4 linked regions of the Lepisosteus oculatus genome follow. The main gene of each other region encodes a partner of the protein of the gene in region 4 in a complex. Links are inferred from orthologs where the notes say so. Each region holds a gene or a part of one and is shown on either strand. Other genes may lie near its edges.

What was found.
Region 1: the proteins of tgfb3 (region 4) and itgb8 are in contact, whole or in part, in a cryo-EM structure (PDB 8VS6), measured with the Homo sapiens proteins. The link is inferred for Lepisosteus oculatus from reciprocal best matches to the Homo sapiens genes TGFB3 and ITGB8. Residues at the interface, in NP_001316868.1 of Homo sapiens: Gly262, Asp263, Leu264, Arg266, Leu267, Lys268; in NP_002205.1 of Homo sapiens: Ser156, Ala157, Ser158, Asn161, Arg206, Gln210, Cys211, Tyr214, Leu216, Ser247, Gly248, Asn249, Ile250, Asp251, Thr252, Glu254.
Region 2: the proteins of tgfb3 (region 4) and lrrc32 are in contact, whole or in part, in a cryo-EM structure (PDB 8VSB), measured with the Homo sapiens proteins. The link is inferred for Lepisosteus oculatus from reciprocal best matches to the Homo sapiens genes TGFB3 and LRRC32. Residues at the interface, in NP_001316868.1 of Homo sapiens: Leu24, Ser25, Thr26, Cys27, Thr28, Leu30, Pro347, Pro349, Tyr350, Leu351, Arg352, Thr357, His358, Val361, Leu364, Leu368, Ser375; in NP_001122394.1 of Homo sapiens: Ala110, Ser135, Tyr137, Ser160, Val184, Met186, Asp187, Ile188, Asp190, Phe193, Leu202, Leu204, Arg206, Asn207, Ser208, Thr210, Cys211, Ile212, Ser213, Asp214, Phe215, Ser216, Leu217, Cys227, Asn228, Ser229, Lys254.
Region 3: the proteins of tgfb3 (region 4) and itgb6 are in contact, whole or in part, in a crystal structure (PDB 4UM9), measured with the Homo sapiens proteins. The link is inferred for Lepisosteus oculatus from reciprocal best matches to the Homo sapiens genes TGFB3 and ITGB6. Residues at the interface, in NP_001316868.1 of Homo sapiens: His259, Gly262, Asp263, Leu264, Arg266, Leu267, Lys268; in NP_000879.2 of Homo sapiens: Ser142, Ala143, Ser144, Asp147, Pro196, Cys197, Ser199, Ile200, Tyr202, Cys204, Ala234, Asn235, Ile236, Asp237, Thr238, Glu240, Asp271, Lys355.

Annotation. Positions count from the first base shown.
Region 1 is NC_090705.1:1,755,144-1,762,811, reverse strand, and holds the start of itgb8 (integrin beta-8), read left to right. Parts: upstream 1-4,632; 5' UTR 4,633-5,695; coding exon 5,696-5,786; intron 5,787-7,668. UniProt on the Homo sapiens protein: Integrin alpha-V:beta-8 (ITGAV:ITGB8) is a receptor for fibronectin. It recognizes the sequence R-G-D in its ligands.
Region 2 is NC_090700.1:6,485,938-6,493,295, reverse strand, and holds the start of lrrc32 (transforming growth factor beta activator LRRC32), read left to right. Parts: upstream 1-4,319; 5' UTR 4,320-5,228; coding exon 5,229-5,315; intron 5,316-6,467; coding exon 6,468-6,566; intron 6,567-7,358.
Region 3 is NC_090707.1:14,216,702-14,224,028, reverse strand, and holds the start of itgb6 (integrin beta-6), read left to right. Parts: upstream 1-4,219; 5' UTR 4,220-4,404; intron 4,405-7,327. UniProt on the Homo sapiens protein: Integrin alpha-V:beta-6 (ITGAV:ITGB6) is a receptor for fibronectin and cytotactin. It recognizes the sequence R-G-D in its ligands. Internalization of integrin alpha-V/beta-6 via clathrin-mediated endocytosis promotes carcinoma cell invasion.
Region 4 is NC_090703.1:8,710,171-8,717,486, forward strand, and holds the start of tgfb3 (transforming growth factor beta-3 proprotein), read right to left. Parts: upstream 3,131-7,316; 5' UTR 2,578-3,130; coding exon 2,232-2,577; intron 1-2,231. UniProt on the Homo sapiens protein: Transforming growth factor beta-3 proprotein: Precursor of the Latency-associated peptide (LAP) and Transforming growth factor beta-3 (TGF-beta-3) chains, which constitute the regulatory and active subunit of TGF-beta-3, respectively.

The sequences.
Region 1 (7,668 bases), on a different chromosome or scaffold from region 4:
CTGAGCCTTTACTGAACTGTCTTGTTTCTAATCTGGCTCCGTTGCAACTGTACTTTTAATGGTGTGAATGCTTCTGAGTTATCAACTTTAGAAGGCCTTAAGGAAAATCCTGTAGGTGTCTATTTTAGAAAATAATTAGTTCAATTCTTTAACTGTCTGCTCAATTTGGAAGAGAAAACAGAAGACGCCATACCCTTCAGCAACTGAGTCTGAGGCCCCTGACTTAAAGGCAAGCAGACCTGAGGAATGCAGTGAACTGTGGTGGGAGAATACACAAGACCAATGTGAACAAACAGCAAAGCAGATGGACAAGGCAAACACCAGACTCAATGTGTAATTCAGTTGCTTCAGTCAAGGCACAAAAAATCATTGTCTGATCAGTGCAGGGTATGTTAGGAAATTTTTGTCAATATTAGGCATTGCAAACAGGAAAGGTACTATAATATTTCCCAAACCAGCAAACCATGGATTTCTGAAAACTTTCGCCACCTAAAACGGACCATTTGCTTCCTGTAGTTGGGGGGGGGGGGGGGGTGATTTTAATCCTTTCCATGCTACGTTATATACTGTATCCATTTATGCTGGAAAAAGATGTAAAAAATTCCTTGTCTTGGGATTTCTTGTGCAAGATGTGAGAACTTCTTCCTTTCCACCATTTCAATATAGAATTTGGGAAAGTAAAGCACAGAAAATCTGCAACTTATCGGTTTGTGCCCACTCTGAAGTAGCCTTGTGGTACAACTCCAACCACTGTAGAGAAAATGATCTGTGCAGAAAATTGTCTTCATTGTTGTTACTACTGGAAGTATGTTTCCAGATGTGTGAATTTAATGTTATCTTCAACACATCCTGGAAGTGCGTATTTGAAAAGGTCAAAAAAATAATAAAAAACATTCTTACCTATCCAGCATAGAAAGAAACTATTAACCATATTATAAGTACAGAGTTACTGTATAAATGACAGGAAGACTGTCAGTCCATCTACTGTAACTTGTTTGGTTGCTAATAGCTAATCGATTCTTGGCTCTCATCCAGCCATTTCTTGAAAGAAGACAGACTTTTGGCTTCAACAGCATGTACTGCAACTGTTCAGTGGTTCTTCTCCTATTAATTTAATTTCTTGCAATAACTAAAAGATTCACATAGTGCTATGACACTATTTTACACTACTCAGTATTTGCTTCAATGGACAATCATTCTTTGAATCTCCTGATGTATGTAATTAAGTACATGCCTTGTTTTATTGTGTATCTAACTGTTGTTGTGGCTTCTAGAAACCCAATTTTTTTCAGCAGGTAATTTTACAAGAAAAACACAAATATTGTTCTCAATATTCAAACCGCTGAAACAGAAAAATGACTGCACTGCACAAGCCCTTACGATTTGCTATTTAAAGAATTAGCTATTCTTGGACTTGCTAAATTAGTCATTCAAAAAGATCAGATCTGGCAGATAATTCATAAAAATGTCTCACCTTTTCCACATCACCATCGTGGCTTTTGTTTGGCCAGTTATGAATTAATTTTAAACGTATCAGAATGTAACAAACCAAAAAGAACAGACACAATGTTTTTATCAACACAAGAGAAGCCTCAGGACAGTCTCAGAAAACACTCTTCCAAGACTTGGAAGACTTCCAAGTTCCAAGTTCCAAGACTTTTTCATTTAACCAGAGCAACAGGTGAGAGCAAAGGGGTATTCTTGGTCAGCTCAGTTTTTACAGTTGAGCACGTTCGTTGCTTTTTTAAGCTCGGTTTGTGTGTGCACATTATTCAGAAGATGGCTGTTAAGGCCCTGTGTAAAAAAGACTTACAGTATATTCTATAGATAACATCTAGGATTATAACTCTTACCTACAATACTTTTATTGTATCTGTTGTTCTCCATTTTTCTGCATATTTTGATTAATCCATGTATTGACTAAGAGAGGATAAGATCCTTTGTTACTACCATTGGTATAATGTACAAGTAATGGTTTCATCATTGACTTGTATAAGACTGGCTCTCTTGAAAGTAAAGACCAGTCAGCACTAGTTGTACAACAGACTCTGTCATAACAATGCTTTGTATAACATGCCTTTCCAGTGAGTTACTTATTACGCACTGATCGCCTCATTACACTTACAGGCCCAGACAAAAGTACTGACACCCTTCATTTGACACAGTGTTCCTCACTAATTCAACTCCACAGTTGAATTGTGGGTTGAATTGTGGGTCTGTGGTCTTTAAGGACTGACATCCGGTGTTTCTAATGCAGAAGTGCCAATACTTCCATGTGAAACTATCGGACGCTATTCCATTGTGGTCCAGTCCATCCCAGTCCTCAACAAAACTGGCAGTCTTCAGCACCACTGCCCTCAGCTATCCTCACCACACTGCATGACCGCTGCACACAGCAGAGGCATGCTGGAGAGATTCTCACACTTCTTAGTTGGAAAGCAATACTCAAGTGGTAGGCGTAATGTTTTTTTTTTATGTCATATGTAAAATCTGAAAAAAAAAATGCTTTAAGGCAATACACAGTACTTTGCAAAAGCATTCACCCCCTTCAAATGATGTTGAATTACACATGATGTACTGTGCACACATTTCAGCAGGTATTTTTAAGAAAAACAGGAATGCTCAAACTGAACACTTTTGTGGATGAAGTTAAAAGTCAGCAAAAAGAAATCACTTATTAAAGATGTTGATTGGATACATAATAACACGCTTGGACAGCAAACCTACATTAGTTCATGTGCACAGAACCTCTTTGACAAGTCACACAATTAGTTGAAAGGCCCGGGCATGTGACTCACGGCAGCACTCATGTTATCACAATCTCAGCACCACCAGTGCGTCATCTTCATGACTCCACGTTTTTGAACAGTCTGTCCTTGTCCTTTGGACAGGCTCTGGGATCACTTACTTTCCCAGCTGATCCTGTCTGCTCCTCCAGGTGCCAACACCTCATATCAGCCCCGGTCCAGCTGGACGAACCCGTTCCTCAGAAGTGCCCTCACTCCCACTGAGCCCTGCTAAAAAACTACCATGCGGCTCACCTGTCCAGCACCTGGATCAGTACAACCTAAGATGTATCATTCTCAAGCTACTGTACCTCGCAGACTGCTGAGACATACAAACCTGTAAACCAGCCCAATCCAGGCCTCTCTCTGGAGTTTTTGTGCTCTCCACTTCTGTTCTGAAGCTTAGGAATCCTTTTCCTCCCAACTGTTCCTATAAGACTCTTTAATTAGCCCAGATGAGTGGCCTATCCTAACAGTGCCATTTCCTTATGAAGCATTTCACACCTTCTGAGTGCCAATTACTAATTCAGACCAGCTTTGCCTCATCGTGCAGGTTGCACTAATGAACCACCAACTTGACTCAAGGCCCCACCACTGGGCCTGAGTCTTGAGTCAAGAGGGTGGCTTTCGCACAAAGCTTTACACAGTGCAACTAGAGTGGTTCACATGGTTTCAGAATACCCCCGTCTCTGTAAAGTCCCTCAGTCTGGTAGTGATTTCAAGCAGAGATTCAACCACAATGACCAAGGATCTTTCAGCATAATGCAGTCGTACAAGGCACACATCAGGAAGGGTATAAAAAATTCAAAGACACTGAACATCCCCTTGAGCATGGTGAAATCAATCATTACGAAGTGGTTTATTGAAGCACCCAGATACTGCTGAGATCAGGCTGCCCCTCCAAACTGAGCAGCTGGGGCAAGGAGAAAGCTGTTTTGGGGCACCGTCATGAAGCCAACTTCAAAAGGGCCACAGCATTCAATGGCGGAGATGGGAGAAAATATCCATGACTCGAAGCTGTATGGCAGAGATGGAAGAAAAAAGCCCTTACTGGGAATTCATTCCTACATGGATTTTGCAAGAAACACTTAGATAATACTGCGAATGCGCAAGCAAAGGCTTTTGGGGTCAAAGCAAACAAAGCCGAAGCAAAACTTTACATCTGGTGCAAGCCTAGGACATCACCCAGTCGTCAACATCCCTGCTGACAGGCATGGTGATGCCAGTGTTATGTTATGGGACTGTTTCTCACCAGCAGGGACTTGGAAGCTTGTCAAGAAGCTGTTCATCCCCAGCTAACTTGACAGAAAATCACAACTTGAGCACGTTGGCAAAAAATAATGGGTCCATCCTGGAGTGCGGAGCTGGTACTTATCCAAAAAAACAGACAGCTGGAGTTGCTGCCAAAAGTGCTTCCACAAATTATTGACTCAGACGAAGAATACTCTCAACATATTTTATTTGTTCATTTTCTTAGAGGTTTTTGCTGACATGCATTCCCCACCCCCATTAAAATGTTCTGTTTGGGCATGCTAGTTTTGATTCAAAATAATCACTTTAAAAAGTGCATACACAGTACAGCGTGTGTAATTCAACAAAACTGGACATTTCAGAAAGGGCGATTCTAACATTGAAGACAATGGTCAGCCACATCCATAACTGAACGTCCGTCTTTTATAAAGTGTAAAATATCGCTTAAAAATATATAAAAAAAAACTTGTGTGGGTTATTTTCTTTAGAATTGCCGAGTTTTTCTGTATTCTGATTTTAAGCAGAAATTCTATTTTGCACGATGAGATAAGCATCGTTTTTTTTTGTTTTAAAACTTTTTAATTTATTTCATGTAAATAATAATCACGAAAACCAAAGCGTTTTTATTTTTGCAAGTAAACAGCTTTTCTTCATCTGACCAGCATACAAACTGATTTTTTTTTTCTTTCCGGAGTCTTCTGGCGTCTGTGTAGAAAACCCAGCTGCAGTTTCCCTGCGCAAGAAGGCCACCGCGCCGGCGATGATGATGTGACTCGCAGGGAATTCTTTCAGAATGGTGTAACTCTTACAAACCAAACCAGAGGTTAACTCGGGGAATTTCTTTCCCACATTCATAATCCCGCTGTCTTTCTGGAAACCCGCTGAGCGGTAAGCGCACGGTGGAAGTTCAAAACCAGCAACGTAATAATAAAAAAAAGGATATCTGGCGACCCAGAGACCGAAAACTGATACTATCTTCTGCGCCGCCTACACAGTGAGCCGGAGTAGTAAGCACTTTTATTCATTAAAAAAAAATCGCCAGTGGGCTGCAGGCGTTACCATGACATTGACTGACTCACTACCGCAGACCCGGAGCTGGCGGTAAGCGGAGGCTTCTGCATCCAGACAAAGGTCTTTCAAATAATAGCAGCACGCAAACAGCAAAGGAAAAAAAAAAGAGAGAAAGAGAGGGAGGGGGGGACGACACAAAACAAAGAGCAACATGATCTGCGGGCGAACCCGATCCCTTCCCGTTTCCAGAAACGCTCGGGATTTCGTGCCCGAAAGGAGGCGGACCGGCACCTGCCCGCACGGCGTCTGATGGGAGAAAGCGAAAGTGCTCCATCCCCGGCACGCCAGTTCTCACCCTGCCGGCAGCCGGCTGTGCCACGGGGGCAGGCGGACGCGACCAACACAGGCGAGCCTTGTTGTCGGGGTCCGCTAACACATTAATCCGACCCACTGGAATGCAAACGCCGGAGTGGATGATCTCCGATTATGAGTGCGCGGAAAGGATAACGCGTGGTACAATGCCGCCTGTGTGCGCTCACTCCTTCGCTTTGTTAGAAATCAGGGCTCTCCTCTGCCCAGGGGAATTTCTCGGCAGTCTCTGAGAAGTCTGGCACTCGGGTGTCACTCTGTACTGTATCTCCTGCGCTATGACTTCCTCGCCACAGAAACACCGCCGCTTGCTACAGAGGATGGTCTGTGCGCTGTATGTCACCGTCGTGATTGGGACAAGCGAGCCGGGTACGTCGTATTTTTTTTCCCCCTTAAACTGTACAGATGCGTCTCCTCGGGTGAGCCCTCCTCATACACGGAACGCACTTCATGCCCTCGTAATCAGTTGCAAATAAAAGCCTAACAGCGGCCTGACTCGAAATGTAGCTTGCCTGGAAATGGTCAGGTGAGGGAGCCGTTCATGAAGTCTACTGCCTTGGCAGCTGATACGTTTAATATTGCTAGGTTTTTCAAATGTTGCTGTCTGTGATGTATTTTGTTATGTGCAGAGGTCGCAGCAGCAGCAGCAGCAGTATGAGCACAGGTATAAAAAACCAGGTTGGAGGAAGACAAATCTTCTGTCCTGGTAAATGAAGTGTATCCGCAGCCGAAGTCCAACAGTAGCAGAACTGGAGAGGAATGTTGCCTGAGTTTTTTCACTGCCACGTTATTTTGTATTTATTTGCACTGTTTTGCTTCAAGGTGTTACGTAGTATGAATGGGCAATTGCTCCCTTCTGCACTTTAAACTAACAATCGAGAGTCACTGCAGGTGTGATTAGCTTGCGAAATCGCCGGGATGAGTGTTACCGCCTGAAGAGAGAGGTTGACGAAAATCACAGCCCTACTGTACCTTCCCTTTCTGTGGAACATCTCCGCGGGGAAGAGACGATTATATACTAGCCACGAAAAAACGGCATCCTAGTGTCAGATGATTGCTTTTGAATTATCGCTTGAAATGGCTGGCGACGAATTCGCTCCAGAAATGTTTCCAGTATAGCGGGATTGTGGATGACAGGAGATTTACAGTAGCTGAGGTGATCCTCAGCATTTGAGCGAATATTCCTGAGATATTTAATATCCCCCCCCCCCCATCCTACTCGAAATAGATAAACGACCAATAATTTAAAATTGAAGTGGCGCATCGCTTCTTTGAATCGGTGTCGGTATTCTTTGAGGCCCTGGTGTTAAAAAAAAAAAAAACAAGGTGAAGATTTGCATCATGTCGAAAGACATTCTGTTTTTGATTATATGTGCCCTTAGGATCCCAGATTGTGTTTATGAAGAAAATCAACGCTGAATGCTTTTGTTATGATGACAATATTCAAAGGGGGTATCTGCACACCTGCTGGCTCCCTTTGAAATTTCAGTGTTCTAATGAAAGCCCAGAGGCTGGTTAAAAATAACACTGGGGTTCTACTTTTATCTGCTTGCAATAAATGCAATTTGGGAAGACGTGCCAAATCTTAAAGAGTCTGAAAATGCCCAAGACGTGTCTAAACCAGGAGATCTGACTTGTAAAAGAATTAATCAGCTGTATGTATTAGCAACCTCGTATCGGATGTGAAAATAAAAGCAGAGGATCCTGCAAACCGTGGTGACTGGAGCTGCCATGCCTGCCATAGAAACCTGTTTGCTAAATTAAAGCAGTGAACCCTTCTTTACACAAAGGATTGTGGGAGTGGGGAACAAGCGCCCCAGCCATGTTGTTGATATCCTGCTCCCTTTCTAGTGAATGAAATCCTTGGATCAGTTAACCACTAGCCACCAGGGTGCTTCAGTGGCCTCCTCCTTTTATAGGCTTCACATCTAGCCTGTACCTTTTTCTTGGTTTACGCTTTTATTCCTGCAGCACATTTCAAGACTTTAGTGTTGAAGTTCATGTATAGTAACCTCTTCCACTAATCTAATAGTGAATGTGTTTAATTAATTCTAAGATGTGGCATGTCCCATAAATTGTGATCTGTGAAGTAAGCTACGTTTTGTGTATAAGACATGCGTAGTTAGTATTTGTATTGGGCACAGTGCACTTTAGAGCTTATCATGTGATATCTGATGAGGCAGCACTGCACAGAGCAACAGAAATCTGAAAAGTTAAACTTGAAGAACCTCAAGATGGGACATCTGCCCTG
Region 2 (7,358 bases), on a different chromosome or scaffold from region 4:
AATTAGACTGCAGCTGCCCCCCGGTCGTATAGAGCTCAAGCGTCGGTCATTAGATATAACATAAAAACGCTTGAAGGTTTACAAACGAAAAGAGAGGTGCAGCCTGTTTATAGCTAGCTGGGGAGCTTATCCAGGTGTTTCTCTGGGGGAAGACAGAATATTAGGTTCAACGGCAAGGTTGGGTAGTTTCACAGTCCAGCAGGCCCTTGTGCATGAGAAGGTCTCCCGTTGACACTTTGAAACGCACTTCCTCATAGTTACCGTTTGGTTCCTGAATTCAACATGAATCTGACAGACGCAATGAAGCGAATTGTGTGTACGAGGGCTTCCTGGCCCGTCGTTTTGTCTTGCTTTCCCTGGGAACAGTTTAGATCAACACTGACATCTGCTGGTACCGAGAGAGTACAGTTAAACCACAGACCTATTGATAGAAATTGGCATTTCTATCTGGTTAATTCAAATTATAGTACTATATACATATATCAGCTGGAAAGGTTTCTAAGGTTAACTAGATGCGATGTTTTTATTTTTAATACTATATTAATATTTACTAAATTTTCCTTTGGCCTCAACAAGACAACAATAAGACCAGTGTAATACAGAATACATAAACCGTCCAGTGTGTTTTACAGTATGCATACAGTCAAGTCGGTGAAGTCATCCCTGCATGGTTTTATCAAAAATATACTCTGTGTCGTCTGAAAAGCTTAGTTTATTATCAATGAACACACATAGATATTAAAAACAACGAACCATCTCCACAAGCTGAACATTTGTATTTATAGGTTGCAGTGTGGTTGGCTCAAATTCTGCCAGAGTGTAGCATAATTGTTTTGTTTTCCTGACTTTTATTTCAAAAGTGATTGATTGGCACCAATCGATAAGAGCTAACACTCGATCACAGTAGAGTGTTTGGTCAAGGCTATACTATTTAAGCAAAACACCATCATTAATCTGCTTTTCATTTGTATAGGTTGAAAACAACACTGGTAATAAAACACATCTTTATGTTTTAGTTTTAAACCAGTCCTCCTGGTGAAGACTGGATTACTTGATCAACTCGTTTACAGTTTCAATTCATCATAGAAAATGTTTTACCACAGATAAACGCAAAGAAAATTAATGTCTACCAAGTTTTAATACATCCAGTGCTATTTACTTTTCAGCGAATAATGCATTAAAACCGTGACCAGAAATAACTGGCACGTCAAAGCCCAAAAACCGTCACTTAAATCACGGATGTACTGTATGACACTGATAAAAGATCCTGCTAACAGTGTGAAAAAAGAAATCGCTGCCCTGTGTCAAAGTTTAGCTTTGTTTCCGCATCAGCAATTTCTGTGAGAACGCGAAAAAACCCACTGTTTTGGCGTTAAGCATTTTAAGAACTGTGGGAAATATTGTTTGGTTGTTTTGTGTTTTTGCAGCAGAGATTACGTTGATAAGAGGTTAAAACAACTCTTGTATGCATTAGCGACACATTTTATGCACGTTTCAGTGACATCTTCTATGTTGCGTTAGGTTTGCATTTTTTTTTGCATTATTTTGCTTAGGATCGGTCACCAATAAGACACTTTCAGTCGGCTGGCAGGGTTGTCCAGGATCACCTGTATGTTTATGCAGATTTTAATGTACAGTAGTTCAGGTGGGTAGCTGCGTCAGCATGCTTATCCTGCAAATGAACAAGTAATAGGTTTATTCCATGCTGAAAAGAGAAGAGAGAAAACACGTTTCGGCTGTGGAGCCTTCTTCGGGTGTGAAGAAGGCTCCACAGCCGAAACGTCGTGTTTCCTTTTCTGTGTAGTAGCCACACAGTAACGTCAATGACAATCACCACGGAAGATTCCTTTATAACGCTTCTGCGCCACTAGATGGAGACAATGATTAAAATACCGCACTTCTTCCCTGTTTAGTCTCGTACTCAAGGTCAATGGTCATTCCCGCCGGCTGGACTGCAATTAAGCAGCAACATCACAAGGTGGCATGACACAATATGACAAGAAAAACGTTTTGTTTTTGTTCGACTTAGGCTCGCTCTTTAATGTACCTGTCGTCACGGCCACCCTTCAAAGTGATGACGGACGAAAATATAAAATCCGAAAGGAGTCAGAAAGGAGACAAACGGAAAGGCACACATTATTAAAATAATGCTTGTAAAAAAAAAAAGGAAACGTAACTCGCGAACGAATTTGTGCAAGATGTATGCAAATGAATGAGCCTTATTTAAAATCTGCGCCCAGCTATAGGGAATCCCTGAGGGAGCTCTCCCACAGAAAATGGGAAATCCCCTCTTCCCGCTGGCACTATACTACTCAGAACACCCAAGTCTCCAAACATTAATCTGCAAGAGAAAGTCAATGTCGGAATACAAGAGGCAAGCTGCAGCAATGCTGGAAACGCACCGAAGCAGCATGGACATCAGGCGGTGGTCCAGCAGGGTTTAAGCTTGGAAGTTTAATTTAAAAAAAAAAACTTGGCTCGTGAACTTGAGACGCGGTGATGTTTTCTGGGATGTTCGCGACAGAAGCAAGATCCCAGCATCCTTGTGCTAGTCTGGATTAACTCTGAGACTCGGCAAAAAACAAACAACAACAACACTGTTATTTCACCTCACAGGAGAGCAGGTAGGTTATCGCGTCTTCCGTAATAATGTCTTCCAGGTGCAATGACTGATGTGCAAATTTTCTGATCAGTTTCGTTGAGAACATCCAATGGAAATGCGCTGCTTTCCGCTAAGCAAACTGATGACCCCTTCTGGTGTTCCTAAAAGACTCGTATATCTGACAAAGAAAATATTATTGTATTTTTAAAATCTTGGTAATAAGAAATTATAATAATAGACACTTGCCTAAGAATAATCACAGTGGCATCTTTAAATTCACGCCTTATATTATGTAGGTTAACCTATAACACTCAATAATATCAGAAGTGAACCTTTGCTAAAATCTTTGGTTGCAAGTGTTTTAACTTATTTATTAGAGACAGGTGGCACTGTACTAGCTTCAAGTGGTGGAGATAAAAATGTTGTCTTTCTCTCAACTACCTATTATTATTATTATTATTATTATTATTATTATTGAGATCAATTAGCTGCCCACTGTATCTTCAAACAACATTTTTTATATAATTTGACAAGGAAAAAGACTGTTGTTTCCTCAAGGCTTTGGTAAGGAAATAAAAAAATACAGTAGTCTATTCATTAAAAACACCTGCTGCCACAAGCCAATTACACAATTGAACCTGTAAGCCATTTGATTCGCATGTTCAGTAAAAAATAGACACAAACAAAAAAATGGGAAATTCATGACCTTTTCAATTTGTGCCCTTAAAAAATGTCAGTAAGCTTTAGTCATCTATTATTCTCAAAGCTGACAGAGCTCTCTTGTTGTGAAAAAAAAATGTTTTCCAGTTTGTGAAGATTGGAGTTGTAGATTGCTCAATGAAAAGTGAATGCGCTTAGAGGCTAACAAAACCTCTGTTCAAGCCTTGTCATGTCTGTAAGTCTTGAGTAGGCAAACAGAAAGACAGGCTGGATCTCTGCTGTTTTGTAACAACCTTGAGCTTCAGCTTTTGTGGTCCTCCCAGGACCAGCTGCAGGAAAATGCTTTTTGATACCGGTTGCTTTTACCTGTGTCCCAGAAATTCTGGGAAAAGGGTTTTTGCTGAGCCATGTAGGCTACTAGCTGGACTTCCTGAAGGTGGGGTTAGGCAGGTGTTACTGATGGATTACCTGGCGGCTGGGTATTCTTTTAAAGAATTTCTTCCATCTAGCAGAGGGTTACTCACTGGAGTAGTAAGTAGTAACGCCTTTAAAATTCTACAAAGACATAATTGCAGGGCCTGTAAAATCTTAAAATAAACCAAAAAACAGTGGTAAGGGGGGAGGAATACTTACAGAAAAGAATAAACATGTTTCAAAGTTTGCATTTTGTATTCGCATGGAAAACACGCACGGAATTTTAAACTGTTTATGTGCCGTATTGCATGTTGAGCAGTGCCATCCCGGATGTGAGGAGATAGGAGTCTTATAAAGTTAGACACATTTTGAAGCATGAAGCATTAGGACCCTGTTTCACCATGTGTTGTCAGATAAGAGAGAAAACATGGACTTCCCAATCCCAAATAAGGAACTGACGGGGGGAAAAAAAAGCAATCCTGCAGGATATTCCCACAGGATGTATTAGCTGCCGTCTATAGCTGAAAGGTGCAGGGGCAGAGCCAGCTGGACAGCAGTCAGGGAGGATGTGTGAGCATCACAGCAGCAACATGAGCAGCACACTCTGGAGGGGGAAATAATTCTTACCAGAAGGTAACTTGACTTTTTGTCGATTTTGCTTGCTTTGTTCGATGCACATGATACAAATGAAATGAGACACGAGGAAGGGAGAATGGCCACAGAAAGAGGAGAGCTGGAAAGGAATTTTGAGAAGTGGAACTAGTGTGGGAAGGATGAAAGTGGGCTGTTTCCCAAGACAGAAAGAATTGGAAAGGCAGAGAGCTAGGCATATATATCGGCGTGAGAAGCTATGAGTTCCTATGGCAATACCTGCCACTTTTTCGAAGATATACACGTTTTCTAATCAAGACAATGTAAACAGTGGAATTTAAAGTCTTATCATAGTTGGATGTCACAGGAACTTTAAGTCTTTAAACTAAAGTAAGAAACAAACTTTTAAGCATTTAAATTCAGAAGGAAAAAAACTCCTACAAGAGGTGGTAAAAATACTCAGACGTGTCTTTGTGGTTTTACCACATGAGACAGGTTTGATTTTCTGGACAGTATTTGTTGCTGCTGTGGGACTTGTTGCTAAGTGCAGTCCAGTGTGTTTGTGGCTTTCATTTTAGTGGCTCATGCAAGCAATAACCAAGTAACCTCTCCAAGGACAACATTGCAACCAAGTCTTGTTTGATAGCTTGCATATGTCATAAAGCAATTGGATTTCCAATTGCAATGTTTGATAAAAATGGGCAACTTCCCACCCCTGCGAGAGGAGCAGTTAGGAAAATAATCTAGAAAAGAACATGACAACTTAACTAACAGGAATCTACCTGTCTATCTGCATGAGGTATATACTGTATATAATATGACAGAGTGAGAAATTGTCTTAACTGTATTATGACATCCATGCTGTGTCCACTACTTCATTCTCCTGTCAACCGGAGACTAACCTAGCAGACACAGGGAACAAGACATACTGCAGAAATTGGTGCACCTGGAGAAAACCCACATGAACATAAGGAGACTGTGCAGGCTCTGCAACCAAGAATTGAACCCAGGACACCCGACTGTGGCACATCTATATTACTGCATACACGTAAAAATACACTTTGATTGTTGCTTTAAAATTTGTAATGTACTTTGGTAATAGAATTTCTATAGAAGTGTAACTAAAAGCCTTTTCTGTTTAAGACCTAAATTAAAATGTGTTTAAGCACACTTCTAAGTTCAACAGTTTAACAGTAATAGTTTGAAAAGGTAGCTCCTTATTTTCCTCAACAAATGGCCTATAAATATTTCAATGTATTCATTCAGAAAGTTGTCACACTCATATCTGCCTGAGCACTGTGTCCAGGAGCAGTTGATAAGCCATTGATAAGTTCTTAATTAGTCAATTTTGGTGAGTAAATGCAGACTGTGTGTTACATATTTAATTATAGCTAACCTTTAAACAGACTTTTTAAAAGAATGGCTGATCTGTAGGTGTTTCCTGTTATTTTGTATTCTCAGATTTGTAACAAACTGTACATGGATTAAAAGAATCAGGTGCTTTTAGATGGTTTTGACTGTATTGTCAAGATTGGAAGTTCTGTGGTGCTGTGTAGTGTTAATGGACATCACAATAGATCCGTACACACAACATGCTTCCTGTCTTAGGTATACTGTGAGGACTGCTTTCCTACCAATTAATTTCACTTTAGAAACCAGTCATTTTCTAGGTCCTTATGACCCCAAGTTCACCTTAAGTTTAAACAGTAACATCTGGAGGTAGTAAAAAAGATACATTTATAGATAAAAAATGTATAGATAAAACTACTTTGATAAAGATTGTATGTGAAGTGGGTTTGCATGTGTATGTACTCAGCTTAGTGACTGTGACATGTTTAGCACGTCGATTTTAACAAAGGTATTTAAGCAGTTTATTTTTTGGATCCAATTAAACCTGAAGAACAATAAAAAGCCGATCTACCTGATTATTTGATAACAATACTGTAATTGTGTGGGACAATGACACAATCACAGGTCAAAGTCATCGAGTACATTTTTATTTTCACTATTTTGCCATTAAGTGTCACTGTCAGAGCCTCCACTTCCCTGTCAGAGCTGTTAGGCAGCTTCTCATTGAGTTTCATCCCACACAACGTCTGAAAACCCCCAAGCCATGGTCTAGTCCTTTCATTCTGTTTTTTCTTTTTTCTTATTCATTCATGATTTTCTGTGTGTTTTTTTTCCGGTGTTGATGCTCCAGACTTCGAGCACGATGGCACTGTATCTCTGGTTCCTTCTGGCTGTCACGAATGAAGCGACGGCCACATTCCGGCCCCGGCAGCTCTCTCCCTGCCCCATGGTAAGTGACCAGAAGCGTGGTGAGTGTGGCTGGCCAGTTTACTCTGCCGCGAGCTTGTGGGCGATGCAGCACTGTGGTGAAGACGGATCGTTTGATTCAAACAAACTTCAGCTTTCACGGCTTGTTGTTCTCTGTTCACGAGCATGACCTGGTAAGAGGAACTTGTTGCCTTTGTTCGGAGTTAAATGACAGCGTGTGGGGAGCACAGAGAAGTGTCAGGACAGGAACCTGGAGGAGTGTGCTCATAGAAGCTGCTGTAACACTTTGAAGCTTGTCCATTTCACTGCTGTGGTGATTGCTAGCAGAGCTCATACCTGTTTCAGGCAGGTTGGCGAGGTGAGCTCAACAAAAGGCTTTTCTGGACGCAGAGATTTCTAAATTTCACTTTACTTTTTGTACGCTAAGTGAGGCTAATCTAATATTAGGAGCAGCGAAGAATAAATTCTTAGCTAAAAAGCATGGGTCATAAAAACAAATTGGGATTTCACAGCAGGAATGCCTATTTGTTTGTTTTAATGAGCTTCTCATCAGTCTCTGCCGATTCTACTATGTTTTTGCCTTGTCTCATAAGAACACAAGAAATGCTAACATTTCAACAGTTTTTAAACTTCTTTATAACACGAGCTTGTTCCACCCTCCTGCCACCCTTTGGGTACAGAAGCACCTCCTGCTCTTGGTTTGAAATGCTTTTCTATGTAGTTCACTGTTCATTTTGAAGAAGTCAGCTGGGTTGTCAACACCTTTGAGGATGTTGAATACATGCGTCAGGTCTCCTTGTAGACTTCTCCATTC
Region 3 (7,327 bases), on a different chromosome or scaffold from region 4:
AGCCCAATCCAAACAAGTTGTAGCTGAGTCATGCCTTCAGCCTGTGAGCCGTTTAGCTCATTCCTGACTGCCAGCTTGATCTGGACATCAGCGGGGGGTACTGTATCTCTGTATCTCAGCATTATGGAACTGATATTGATTTAGTTCACTGAGCTGAGCCCATCCTGCAGACTCTTTTTACAGCCCTAGCACAGTAGCACCCTTGGGGTAAGGCAAGACTACATTTGAAGGTCACGTATTTTGGAATGATGACAACCTGTTACCTGTTGGTTTTTAATTTTCATCTGAGCCGAAGAATTTCATTGTTACTTGAGATTTATTATCTGTGTGTTTTTCCAATCATCTATTGGATCCATACAATGCTCATGGTTAATCTTCCTCACAGTGCCCAGTGCTTTGCCCTCACCTGCTTTTATTAGTTTCAGCGCAGGAAGATGGGATTGTGAGAGAAATGGGTACCCTGCGTTACTCTCTCCCTGTGCTTTCTCTGAGTTGAGGTGTGCCTGGCAGGAGAGCGGTATGCTTAATACTTTCAATACGGCTGTATTTAAAAATTGGCGTTTTCCAATATCGTTAAAAACAAACTGCAGGGTGGCATAAACTGCATTTTTACGTTTACCACCAGAGGTCAGTGTTGACTCAGCTATGTCAGTAACTTAATCTCAAAACATTCTTCTTAGGGAGGTGCACACTGATAAATGCTTCATAACTCCTGTTACGTGGCCAAGTGTTAAAAAAAAAATCTGTCCTGGATTGCCAACTTCCTTAGTCAATTACGAACTTTACATTTTTATTGTTTGCTCTCTGTGCACTGTGGAAAGCCATTATTCTGGGAGAAGGAGTCTGGGCAGCAGGAAATTCAAGTACTATTTTGAGGATTGACATCGGATCCCATTTTGACATAAATCTGTCTGCTGTGTGTTCTGTAATATACAGACTATAAATGACTCCCTGATCTGGATGTTACGGAAACACTCTGCAGAGAAATGCACAATTCATCCTCTGTGTTACACACAGATTGCTGGCTTTGTATAAAGGGATTTCTTGTTCACATTAGTATCTCTAAGTTGCAGCTCAGCTACAAAGGCTGTTCAAGCTGTCACAACATGTGAATGCCTTTGTGTTTGTGGTATATCTGTTCGACAAAAATCCTAACACATTGCTTACTTAAATTGCTTAACCTCAGTACCTAGAGATTGTAAATGTCAACATAAAATACATTTTTTCATGAGTACTTTCTTTTTCCTTCATTTGACTAGCACTTTTAACCTAAGCAATTTATGATTGCTTTGGGTATATTTTTAATTCACATTTACAGGTAAATAGAAAACCAAACTTATAGTACTGAACTGATAAGTAGTCTTAACTGCATTATGCAGATTGACTGCCAATGCATTTCTTGCAACATCATTTTAATTTTAATCTAGAGTTGTGTGTCTGACCTCATCCAGCTCACTGACTAATATAGAACATAAATGTTAAATGTCAAAAGTCGTTGAAAGTCCAAGAAAACCTGGAGAGTAATTGGAGACAAATGATCCATTTGGTTTTTCAGAAAATGAGTTTCTGAGGAATTTCCAGATTTTGCATCTATTGCAAACTGAAGTTATTCACTTAATTTTAGTTTTTAATGAATCTACATTTTTGGAATTCAATGTATTTTCAGCCCATACAAAAACTGGGGAAAATGCTTTTTACAGTGGATAGCAACTAGGTTTCATACAAATGCAATGTTAATGATCCAGTTTCTCAAATGGTATTTAACAAAAGGTTAAGAAGAGGTCATTTATACAGCTAGACAAGTTAATGCTAAACACTAAAGTCCTTAACTAAGCTATCCCTAAAAGTCATCAGCTTGTTCCATTGCAATTAGAATGAGTGGGTTCTAATTGCAATGGAACAAATCAAAACAAATCGCTTAACATAGTTCTATCAAAGAATATATGCAGAACCCTGATCACAAGCTTAAGTATAACTCCTGTCTTCGCTCAAGCACAAAACCTAACTCAAACTCTTACGTACAGCCTTTAACTGAGTTCCAGCACTAAGACTAACCTTGAGTATCATATGCTTAACCTTTTCTCAGCTCTAATCCAGCACTAAACCTAAATACAGCCTTTATTATATATCCAAACTTAACCCTACGCATCAACCTTATGATCTCTTCAACCGTAACCATCATCCTAAATCTGAATTTAAATGTACCCTATATACAAACATTACGATAGCTACAGCACTTGGCCTAAGCATACCTGTACAGGTAGCGTCAACACTAAATATGATCTTTATCATAATTATAACTCTTACATTTAACCCCCCAAAAATTAAGATCATGATATAATTCATTTTTTCTAAACCTAACTGTAACTGTAATCATAACCATACTGTTTGTTCTGACTTAAGGCCTGTTCTTAATACTATTTAAAGCCCTTTCTTTAGCAAAACTCCTCTAAAAAAATAAAAGTTTTAAAGTGTTGGACAGAGAATAAGTGTAAGGTCAAAACAATTTTTAAAGTTAGAAAGTATAATGTGGAGTTCAAATTAGCATTAAGGTATGGATTAAAAGGTGAGTAACTGGGTAAGGGTTAGGATTAGTGTTAAAGTTATAGTTCACATTAGAGTTAGGATTATTAGGTTCAGACTCCAACCTTCCAGGAAAGACGATACACAGATAATTAGGGCAGATGGCACTGGCTCACACTACTTTAGATTTTAAATTAGGCCCACGTATTTTCAATTCCAGCACCCTTTTCCTTGAGGGAATCCATAGGGACTTTTTAAAGCATATATGAGCTAATTCAGTTCACCTTATGACATTGCCACAGCATTTTATGTTTGATTTTAACCGTTGCAGCTATCTTTATTAACTCCCATCTGGGAATAAATTGTACATAGACCATTGACTCTTGGAATAGATAAGTTAGTAAACATACTTCCCAATACTCAGAATGTTCTGTGAACTTTCACATCATTGTTGGAAATTGAAATTGCTGCAATCGTAATAATAAATGTATTGTTTTCACAGGTCACAAAAAATTGCAAAATGTGTTTCCTGAATGTTTCAAAACTCATCTAGAAGTCAGGTGATTCTTATTTTTAATTAAGCTTTTATTTCTTTTCAGTACGGATTCACTTCCAAGAATCCATAGGTCACTAATCGGGATGGGATCGGCACACTGTCTGGTCGGTTCAACTGGTGTTGTTTCGGAAGATAACTTGTCATTAAATCTTGTCATGTGGAGCTCTTGTTGCCCCACCAGGTGGGTACCATACCTGATAATTTAACACACACTGTTTAGAAATCCCCCAAAAAAGGAAGGGTTCTTATCAAACTTATAAAAGGCTTGCTTGGCTTTTATATCCACTTCCTCCTTGCCCCGCCTCTCTGCTGCCCTGGCTTCTCCTAATGAGGGGGTGTGGTTCTGTATTGGGCCATTTCCAGGGAATCACCCCAGCCAGACAAGCTCAGCCTCGAAAAGAAGCTCAGAGTTGAGCGGAACAGAGCAGAGCCAAAGACCAAAGATGCTACGTTAAAATACAATGACAAGAGCAAACTCAGCCACCTCACTGAATGATTTTATTCAGTATCTGTAGGAATAGAACTGATACTGTATATCGCAGCATTTGGCTCTTTTTCTCCTATTTAAAAAAATACATTTTCCCTGGAGAGTGAACATCTAGATTCAGCACAAACAGCAGCATGTCTTAGTTCATGAATGAGCTATTCAGCTCCATCACAACACCATGAAGAAATTTATACCTAATCACGGAAATTACAATTTAAGGGGCTTGTTTCTGAGGCTGGGGGCCTAAGCTTCCTGAGGAGGCTCATTACCGCTGTCTGTTTTGGAATATAGATTATTTTAGTCTGTTAAAAAGAGCATAAGAATGCTTAAAAATGTGGAGGCCATTTCATTCTTTTAGCTGCTTGGTATCGATCTGAAAATTTATTCAAGTCTCTTTGTAAAAGAAGCTAGGGTTTTGGCTTCAACAACATGGTTGGTTAGCTTGTTCCATCCTCCCACAACCTTGTGTCTCAGAGAACATCGTCTCAGAGTTGGTTTCACTCTCAAAAAAAGATACACAGGCATAACTTTTCCATGTGTCATCCTTGAACAGTTGCACATTTGCCTGTCAATCTAAATTTAACCTATTATACTGCTACTAATGAATGTGAAGCATTTTTTGTATCAGGCAAGCAGTTGCTACCATCATTCAATACTGCAACATGCTTTATATCTTAAATGGAAGAAGAATAAAAACGTCATGGTCTCTAATGCAGTTTGCTACTTTGGTTTAATGTTACTTTGTGGAAGAGGAGCTATGAAGCACATTGTTTTTTTCTCACTGGCTTGGTGGAATTGTTTGCTTTTGACAGTATGATATCACAGTCATCTGCTTTTGGTAAGTTCTATGCTTTGAAGCTTTTACATCTTTAATTTCAGAATGGGGATTGGGCAACACAACACAATAGCAAGATATTGTTTAAATGTATAATTTTGAAACTAAAGCAAAATGAGTATTAAGATCTAGAATGCTAACTTTAGTTGTTTTGTTGTGGTAAACCCTACACCAGTCAATACCAGTTTATTTAAAAGCAAATCTAAGATTACAGTAATTCTGTTGAAGCAGAAGATATCTACTAAAACCTTAGTAGGCCTTTCATTTCTATCTGTGGTTGTCAGGGAGGGGGCATGAGTTTCTTTTCTGTCACTTATGTTTACTGTTCAGATTCCTTGGTACAATTGAGTAATTAGTAGAAAACAGTCACTTTTTCATTCAGGCAGTAACACAATGCTCAGGGAGCAGGAGGAGAACAGCACACTATCACAGCAGATGGTGTTCCTTGGGGGGGTGTGCTGGTGAGCACTGATTCAAGAAAAGATGAGAAAGTGGTCTATAATACAGCTATGTGTGCACGACAGCACCTTAAACCAACAGTGCATTATACAAAGCCTTCATACCCAGCAATTCTGTTTAAGACATCGACTGGTATTTTATAGAAAATTCACATTTAAAAAAAGACATGATACATTTGCTGAAGAGAATGTTCCTTTGTTCATTAATTATTAACCTTGACTGAAAGCACAAATGCTTGCCTTTGCTCTCACCAGCATTTTGTTATAATTTTATCTGTACAATTCAATAAAAGGAAAATGAATGTAAGGGAAAGTCTTGCATGCCTTTTCCATCTTTCTATTATCCCTGGAGTCAGAGGGCACATTTTCTGGACACCCTGGACAAGACACAGTTGGGTCAGGGCGGAGCGGTGGCACCTTGGCTAAAGATCTGTGCCTGTGGCTGGAAAGTAGGAGGCTCAAATCCCAAGGCTGGCAGAGGAATCCTACTCTGTTGGACCCCCATTCATTTGGGTTTCCACCAAGGTGCCCCGGTTTCCCCCGACAGCCCAAAAATATACTGGTAGGTTAATTTGCTTCTGGGAAAACTGGCCCTGGTGTGAGGTGTGAGTGTGTGCGTGTCTGTCTGCCCTGAGACGGAAAAGCGTGCCATCCAGGATGTACCCTGCCTTGAACCTGTTGCTTGCTGGGATAGACTCTGGCTCAAGTGAATTTAACACTGGAGCCAAGGGCTCCAGCCGTTACTCTGCCAGGTGCAGTTCTGTGCACGTCCTTCCCTGCAACTTGAAAAGAAACATAACTTTCAAAACACTGAACCTCAAATCTGTAGTGAGAATCCACACCACTGATAATAAGAATACATTATTTGGCACTTGTCTACTGGGGGGAAAATGACAAAAGACAAAAGAACAACAAAAACAGAAGTAAAGAGAAAGTGTCAAAATGTACAGGTAGAAGGACATTACAATCTAGAAGTTGTCATCCTCTTCAGTTGCTTTTTCGTATGGAAGTGATCAAGATATACAAGTAGTATTTGTAGAACAAGAGTTTCAGGAGGTTTACTTCTTTTCTGTGATACACTTTTATATATTTTACACTGCATGTTCTGATACAAAAAAGGAAGTTGATTTTTTGTGCAATCCAGAAATATTATTTGTTAAGCAATATAAAAGGAAGACTTCGATGAAAAAGGGCATTTTTTTCAGTGATTGACATAACATTTAAAATTTATTTATTTTGAAAGCGTGGGCTTTAGAGTTGGATTTTTAACAGTACTTTTCATTCTGGTTTCCTATAGAGAAACAATAGATTTTACCTAATGCAATTTGTCTTGACTTGATGTGTAGATTCCCTTTGTGTCATGCTGGCACAGCAACTCCGTGGTTAACATACTGTAACGGTAATTAAAAAACTCCTGTGTAGAATAATTTTGTTGCCCAGCTTTTTTTTTTCTGGGCTGTTCTACCTAAATTCTATTTCAGGAACTTTAAGTACAAAAATTCTACAGTATGTAAAAACTAAAGCATCATTGCAGATCAGACTCTGAAATCCTGCTTAAGTTGAGTGTGCTTTAAGGCCTAAAAGGTACTCCTCAGCTCCTTACCAGCACTAGTTCACTTGACCAAACAGACAATATTTTAGCCTTTCTAAAAGAAGAAGTAATTACAGACCCTGGCTTTAAGAATGACACAGTGTTTATAATGATACATTTTATCTTGGTCTTGAATTAGGGAAAAAAAGGCTCACCACCATTAAGCAAAACGTGCAAAGCTCGTGATTATTATCTAGTTCTATGATTCGCTCTTTAAAATGCGCAATCTGTGCTGTATGCCGGGATGTATGTATGATTCAGCTTTTAAAAAAAAATGAAGTTCTGTTTTTGCTTGAAGTCGGTTCTTAAGTGTTGAAGCAATTAGCCCTGCCTCTCTGCATCTGCTGACACAGCAGCTCAGACTAAGGTTACGGTACTGGAACTTCCACCAGCGTAGTACTGGTAAATCAGAGCAATGCAGGAAAGTTTAGCCATCACAGACACAAGCAAATAAAGACAAAACTGCACATGGCTTTGAGAAGGTTCAGAATTGTTTTCTTTTTCAAATGACCCGATGTGTTGTAATTGCTACTCTTACAACTTTAAAATGAATTCTTTTTAAAACATGTTGATACCTATTAACCTAAATATACTACTTGAGAACTCCCAGTAATGCCTCCCAGTAATTTAAATGAGGGATAAACCCACAACCAAAATTGAAAGCAAGTCCCATAATGAAAGTAATGCACAATTGACTTACAGTGGCATTGTCAGCACTCATAAAATCTTATTTTTTCAGTCTGTCTTTACAGTTAAATTGCATTGCAGGTGTCATTCAATTAGTGCTATTCCTGCTTCCTCCCAGTGCAGCAGTAAAGCAATTAGAAAGATGGTATACAGTGGATCTCTTCATTTATAATTGAAAAGGACTCAAGCT
Region 4 (7,316 bases):
AGAACAAAATTCACCTTTGTTCATTTAAAGTGTGCAGTTATGTAATGAGGTTTTCAGATATCAGAACAGACAATAGATTTAGGAATTGTTAATGAAAGTCTTCAGACCACAGGGACTGGAATCTCAAAGCACATTTCCTGTTACCTTTAGAACATTTTCCATCTTTTGGGGGTCTCTCCTGAATATGAGCATGAAGGCACTGATCTGAGCTGCACATTCCATGTCCCCTCTTCTCCCTGCTCAGATATAGTCTCACAACTCTCCTCAGTAGTGAAGCCCACGATTTTGATTTTTTTTTCAGAAGTTGAAACGGAGATAGCGTGAAAAAAAAGGAATTTTGTGCCAGTGCCAAATGAGCACTGCTTCATTTCTGCTTTCAATCAAACACCTGTTGATTTCAAAGGCTAGTATGATGCAATGACGCTGATGCAATGACTCTGACTTCAGCACTGTCTGCTTTCAATTGTTCAACACAAGTTGTTCTTGTCTTTTTTCAGAAAATATTACTCAAATTTTGCACCTCAGCAGAAAGCTTTGATAATCATCACTGGGGAGCAGGTTATTCACATTGTGAGCTGCTGTTGCTGCAGTACCACCAATGGTGCTGTGGCAGTGTTCACTATTGTAGTGCCGAAGATTTAATCTAATAAGAAGTGGAAAAGTACTATGTCCCCTTGCTATTTTGTAAGTAAACACAATTAACCTTTAAAAGTGGTACTACATATTTCTTAGAATAAATGTACAGGCTGAACCTGCAAACATACAAAAATATCCTTTCATTATATACTGTGTATATTTAACTACTTACATTCGTCAAAAACAAAAGACTCGTGTTTGTAATTATTAAGATGACTCCAAATCCAAGAAACATTCCAATGAAATGTGTCAGCTTGTCTGCTTTTGGCGGTAGCAGTAGTCTTGTATCCTGAGTTCACTGAGAATCCTACTTTCAGTGTAATTAATCTCCTGTTTGCTTTTTCTATCAAAGCTCTCTTCAATGGCATGTGAGACACTGCCACGCTCAACTCTGTGCACAAGCTCTCCAGTTTTGAACTTGCAGCCAATACTCTTGTCACAAGGACTGAGGAAACGTTTTTTTTTTCAGCCAAGCTAAAAGGAGGTCCTCACATTAGCCTAATTTGTTAACATTTCCTCTCTCTTTTTACAGCATCCCTGAGATGTATGCATGCCCCTAATTCTTGATGTGCCAACAGTGAAATATGAGGCTGAAGAGTTGATGAGTTAATGGAAACCTGAGAGTGTATGCAGCCACAAACATGTCTGCTACACTACACCTCAGTTCAGCTCAGGTGAGGATTAAGAGGGAAATATTATACCCAGTAACACAAGGCCTTGTCGTCTGTCTTCATTCATGATCCTATTGAGATAAACATGGATTTTCTTGACACTTCAGAAAGATAACCTTCACAACCTGCCTTATAAGCCTTTAAGAAATCTCTGTTCATTAGAAAAAGCCTACAATGTGGCTTAGGTAGATATGAAAGAATATTGGTTAAAGGCAACACAGTCAAACCAGCAGACCCAGTTGATAGCACAGTAGGTCAAAAGGTCAAGAGAACTAGTGAGGGATTAGTGTGAAATATCAAGGAAGATTATTTGTCTATACTGTAGAAAGCCTTATCAACAAAAACTGCCATATCAACTATACAATATGTGTGACAGCGAGCAATATTAATATAATGTATAATGCACTGTGTTTTTGTAGTTAAGTAACTTTCCACATATCATCAAAAGAAAAAAAAAGGTTTTAGTTTGCCAACGAAATATACAGTACTTAGTGGAACGACCACAGAGGAATAGTTGCTGAAAGCTTTAGCATTGTCTTAATAAAATTTGCAGAGGTTTCGTGCTTTCATCTGGAACAGCATTCTATTCTGATTGGAATAACAGAAGCACCGGCGATGAGTGTTTAGGAGGGAACGGAACAGAGCCGCTCTGCTATTGCAATAAGGTACTTGACCCACTCAAATTTTATTTGCAGGGCATCCTCATTCACTAATTTCCACGGGCCAGCAAACAAAAGCAGCACAATATTAACTCTGTGCGCCCGCCAAGAAGCGTTGCTTGTCTGACACAGGAAAGTGCGGTATTTATCCGTCAGCCACTAGCAAAGTGGAAAAGGTCACTTAAAAACATAGTTATACGAAGATAACAACTTCCTAAAGTGTACGCAGTTGCTGATAAGCTTAAAATACAAACGGAGCGCTTACTGTTTTCCGGCGTCCCCTGAATCATGTTGAATTTGTATATTTCTTTGGCGTAGTACTCTGTCTCCGTATTGTCTTGAGCGCAGCTCTGATGCCTGTCTCTGCCCACCTCTTCCAGCAACTCCTTCGTGCTGTTGTACAGCGCCAGCACTTGGAAAGGGACCTGAGTCGGACCTACATCCTTGGGCACGCTCGTCAGTCTTAGCTTACTGAGGATCTGTCCCCGAATCGCCTCGACCCTCTTCTTCTTGATGTTGTGGATATCCACAGTGGTGCAAGTGGACAGTGTCAAAGTCATGGTCACAAAGTTCAAAAGCAGGAAAAACAGAAGTGCTTTACCCAGATACATCTTGGTTGCCTTTTCTTTTTTTTCCCCCCCAAATAGCGGTTATTCAGTCAAAGGACCCAATTCCTCCCGAAAATGACTCCTAACAGGTACATACGTTTCACTGAGGGGTAAAAAAAAAGAGAGATCTGGAATCTTCCTTTAAACTTTTGACACTTTTGTTTACAGATTTGTTTCTCTTGAGTTTATCTCTTTCTTCTCATTCAGTTGTTCATTGAGTCATTTGCCCCCATTGTGTGAAACGACGATTTACAAAGAAGTGGCCGTTCAGCGGAATCCGATTCTGTATTCCAAAAACACCGACTATCATAATTCAGCATTAATCTTACTGTTGGTCATACTTTATCAAACGTCCCCTTTCGTCTTCCTTCATTACTTTTATTAAAAGCACTGGCATCCTATTCGCTCGTCTCCTTGCGGAATCTATTTTTAACAAGTGTTAGATCCAGTTTCCCTGATAAGTTTATTTTTTCATCTCTGGCTGGTACGGACTTCTTATTTCTCCTTTGCCATTCGAACCCCTCTCTCCCTCTGCGTTTGCGACGAGTCTCGGACTCTGAACGGGCTTTTAGGCTCAGAGGATATTTTATATCGAGTTTTTTTCATGACGTTTTGCGGAGGAGGGACCGCAGGTTAAACGCATCTCTCGTGCGCTCCCTCGCTGTCTTTACTGCTTTATCCTGCTCTTTATTATTTTATTTTTTTGTCATTTCTGTTGTGAAATAATGGGGATGTGTAGATGTGGTATGTTTCTAAAATTTCGGCTCCTTTTTTTTTGTCAGGTTAAGGAAATGTCTGTTAATTGGCAGTTAGGGCAGATCCTTCTCTTCAGTCTTACTGACGCGAGATTCAAGATTTTGGGATGAAAGTAGGCTTGAACTAGGTGAAACTGCCGGGGGGAGGTGTTGAATGGCGATTTTCTGACTCTTTGATATCTCTAGAATCGACTTCTATGTGACACCATCTTTTAATGTTTCCAGAGTCAATAGTCAAATATTGTTTGGGTATTAAAGTTGACTTTATAACCCAGTAACACCTATCCCAGATTGTACAAATCATTAAGCGATCGAACCTCTCTGCTATATGCAATCCAGCAAAATCCAAACTTTGGATAGAGTGTAAATGCCTTATAATAAATCTAACTTGTAACCTTTTTAAGGACGTCATTAGCAATACGTTCCATTAACACTCCTTACGTTTTGCAGAAATGAAAGCGCTCCCTCTGGTGGCGACTAGCAACCCTCCCACTCTTATTTTTCTCATTGACATAAACCAGAACTGTGAGCGCCGACGAGTTTCCTGTTTTCTTTAGTTCTTGCCAGTTACCATTTTTTTGTTTAAATAATAATGTCGTTAGAACTGACTTAGTATTTTTTCTACAAAGTATCTTAATACCCGTGAGATATTTTTTAGCATAGTTCCTTTTTGTTTCAATCTGTTTTTTAATTCTAGAAAACGGTTGAAAAAAAGAAAAAGCAAAGTAGTCTCACTTAAAGCAATATTGTTAATAGCTCTATGGGCGGCAAAGCGGCGCTGTGCTGTCTCACAGGGCTCGTTCCCGGTGTTCAGGTCCGGACCTGGGGTGCTGTCTGCATGGAGTTTGTATGTTCTCTCCATGTTCATGTGGGGTTTCCTCCCACAGTCCAAGAACACTCCTGGGTTCTGGGAAAACTGGCTTTGGTTTGTGTCTGTCTGCCCTGTGATAGACTGGCGTCTCAACAGGGAGTACCCTGCCTTGCTCCCATTGCTTGCTGGGATAGGTTCTGTCTCCCTCTTGACCATGATTTGGAAGAAGCAGTTGGTAATGGATGGATGGACGTAGTTCGTAAACTTCATCATCTAGGGCTTTGTTCTGTTTTGCTTAATGAAATACTAAACAGGTACTGTACATTAAGAAGTGAATTTGATATTTTTCCTCATGCTTATGTAGTTTATTAATGTAAGATTAAGAACCTAGGTGTCTCTAAATTGTTTTTATTGTCATCTGTTATATATTACATTCTCATTAACTTACTGAACTTTACTTGCCAAAATATAGTTTAGATAAAAATCAAACTATGAAGAGAAGCAAGTCACTCACAACAGTAAAAAAATGATATTTCAAGATGGTAAAATTGTATTAACTCCCACACGGTCCAATGGCCTGCTCTCGTTTGTAACCCTTCTAATGATTGTAAAAATAAAAGATGAGGACGAGCTACTGACTTCAAGGTAAAATGTATGAACATAAGAATAGAAAGTCTGTTAGTGTCTCCTCTGATCCCTTGCATGTTCTGTATGAAGAATATCAACTAATGCCTTCAAAGAGACAATTTAGAGTCCCTTAATACAGACTTAAGAAAATTAGGAATTCACTTATCCCACATTGAATCAGGCTATTCAATCAATAAAGGAGTATTGGTTTATGGGCAAGAGCAATTAGTAGGTATATGCAAAATGAAGGGGTGTCTTGCAGTTATACAGGCTCAGGAGGGTTGTGGAGGGAGTAAATATACAGGTTCTGGTAAGCTGTGTGAGTTCCTATAGCAAGGATGTATAATGACAATGTTAATGTCTTTTATGTAATGTAATATTTATTTTTAATGTACTGTATAATGGTATTAGTACCATTTATACATTTTCACGTGTCTCTCTGTGTGTAATACATAGCTGCAAAACAATTTGCTGAGAAATCTGACAATAAAGTACGAATGTATCGTATCATATCTTAAAAGTCACAAATGAGAGGAGGCCATACAGTCCATCTGAATGGTAGTATCTTATCTAATTGGTCTAAGTCAATCGGTCCAGATATCTCATCCAGCTGTTTCTTGAAAGAAACCAGGAAATCTTCTTGTTTGGTAGATTATTCCAGACTCCCACAACCCTTTGGGTGAAGAAAGGCTGGTGGCTGTGCAACACCATTTGCTACTTTCATAGTGTGGAAGTTACAGTGGGTTTTGCCCTGAGATTCCAGCAGACTCCATTTTTAAATGATTATTTTTAAAATGGTGCCGAGCAGCAGAAAGAGGCACAGTGGGTGGTGTTGAGACTGGATGATTAGAGATATCCACACATGGGTTCCTGAAGTATGAAAGTGGAGGGTTAATTCAATTACTGTCTGCCTTTAAATCAATATTGTGTTCATTGCACTGTACTGTAATCTGATGCTATTGCTTTTATCATAGGCCACTCAGATCTGTTCTTCATTTGATGGGAGACTTAGATCTTTTGTTGTCCACAGTTAACTTACAACGCTTTGGGGTTCTTAACCCTAGAAATCATACCACAGGACACTTTACTATGTTATCCTCAGCGCTTGTTCACTTTAGCTCAAGACATTCACTCGTGTCTTGGTGAATTAAGTTCCGCTGCCTCTCATTTTCAGTTTGCGGGCGCTCCCAAAAGCTCTCCTCTACGGGCAGGTGTGACGCGCAAACCTGGACCAAACCATTTCTAGGAGGACAGGGAGGAGTCGGGGGTGACAGGATAACTGATCATTACTTTCATCTCCTGTTGTAAGAGATGTATGTGATTTGCCGTGTCATTAGGTACCATGGAAACTACTCTTAATTCTTGAACTGCAGTGATGAATCTATGGGATTCTGTCCTAAAGTTTCTAACATTCCCTCTTATAAGACACAATTATGACTCTTCTGAACCGATCGTTATTGAAGCAAACCCACCTGGGAGATAAAAGAATGACAAGAGACCGCTGGCATGCAAAACCCTTCTGTAATTTTGCTGATCTGTGAGGGTGGGAATTGAAGATCTCTATATATAGCTTAAACTTTCATTGGCAGTAAAACAATCCTAGGACCCTAAACTGCTGCAACACAATTGACTTAGAAAAATAAACCCCATGTTCCTATTAGATGCCATGAAGTCACCACACTGTCAAGCCATATTTATATATTTTAATGGAAACCGTGCAGCGTTCACTCACTTTGATCACAGGAGCTTACTGTGTGACTTCAATTCATGGCTGGGCTTGGCCTAATTATGTTTTTTTAAAACATTTTTTACAAATATAATCAAAGAATTTAGAAAGTTCATAATAAAACAGTAGCAGAAGTTCAACTTTTTGCTATTAATAATTTTTGTCTTGGTATTTTGATAGGTTTGAATTTCTGATTGATTTAAAAAGGCAGCTGAGCGCAAAAAAAAAAAAATGACTGGGGAGGAAACTGTCCCAGGAAATAATGACGATTATTTTTCTGCTCATCTCAATCCAGGCACTGAAAATGCGCCGTTACTGAACCGCAGGGATGCTGTCATTACTTGAGCCAGTCTTACCATAGTTGTATAGATGACGTCATTGTATCACCCAGGCTGCCAAAGGAAAGACTTTTCCTAACAATTGTGGCAAAACATTTTCCCAAAACAAGTACTGTTGACGAAAATAATTGCATATATGATTCAGGATCTCCTGTAACAGATATCACATACTATATAATTAGGCGCGCATGTCTGTTTCAGTCAACTCGAAAGTGCGTTAAATGACGATGAATGTAATACATGTACTAAGACTTTTAAAAATACCCAGCTTGTGACCATAGGTAATGCAATGTACTTCTGTATGATTTTCACCAAATTCCTCTTCAAAGCAGTATGAAATAAACCTGGCGCAGAACTCACGATCGTGCAAAACAGGTTACTTCTATTGGGAATATAGTATAACTCTGTGTGTTTTAATACGTGTTGTCTCTTTTCTATAAATATAGTTTGTGGTTGCGTTCCGCTAGACCCAATTTATTTCGGAG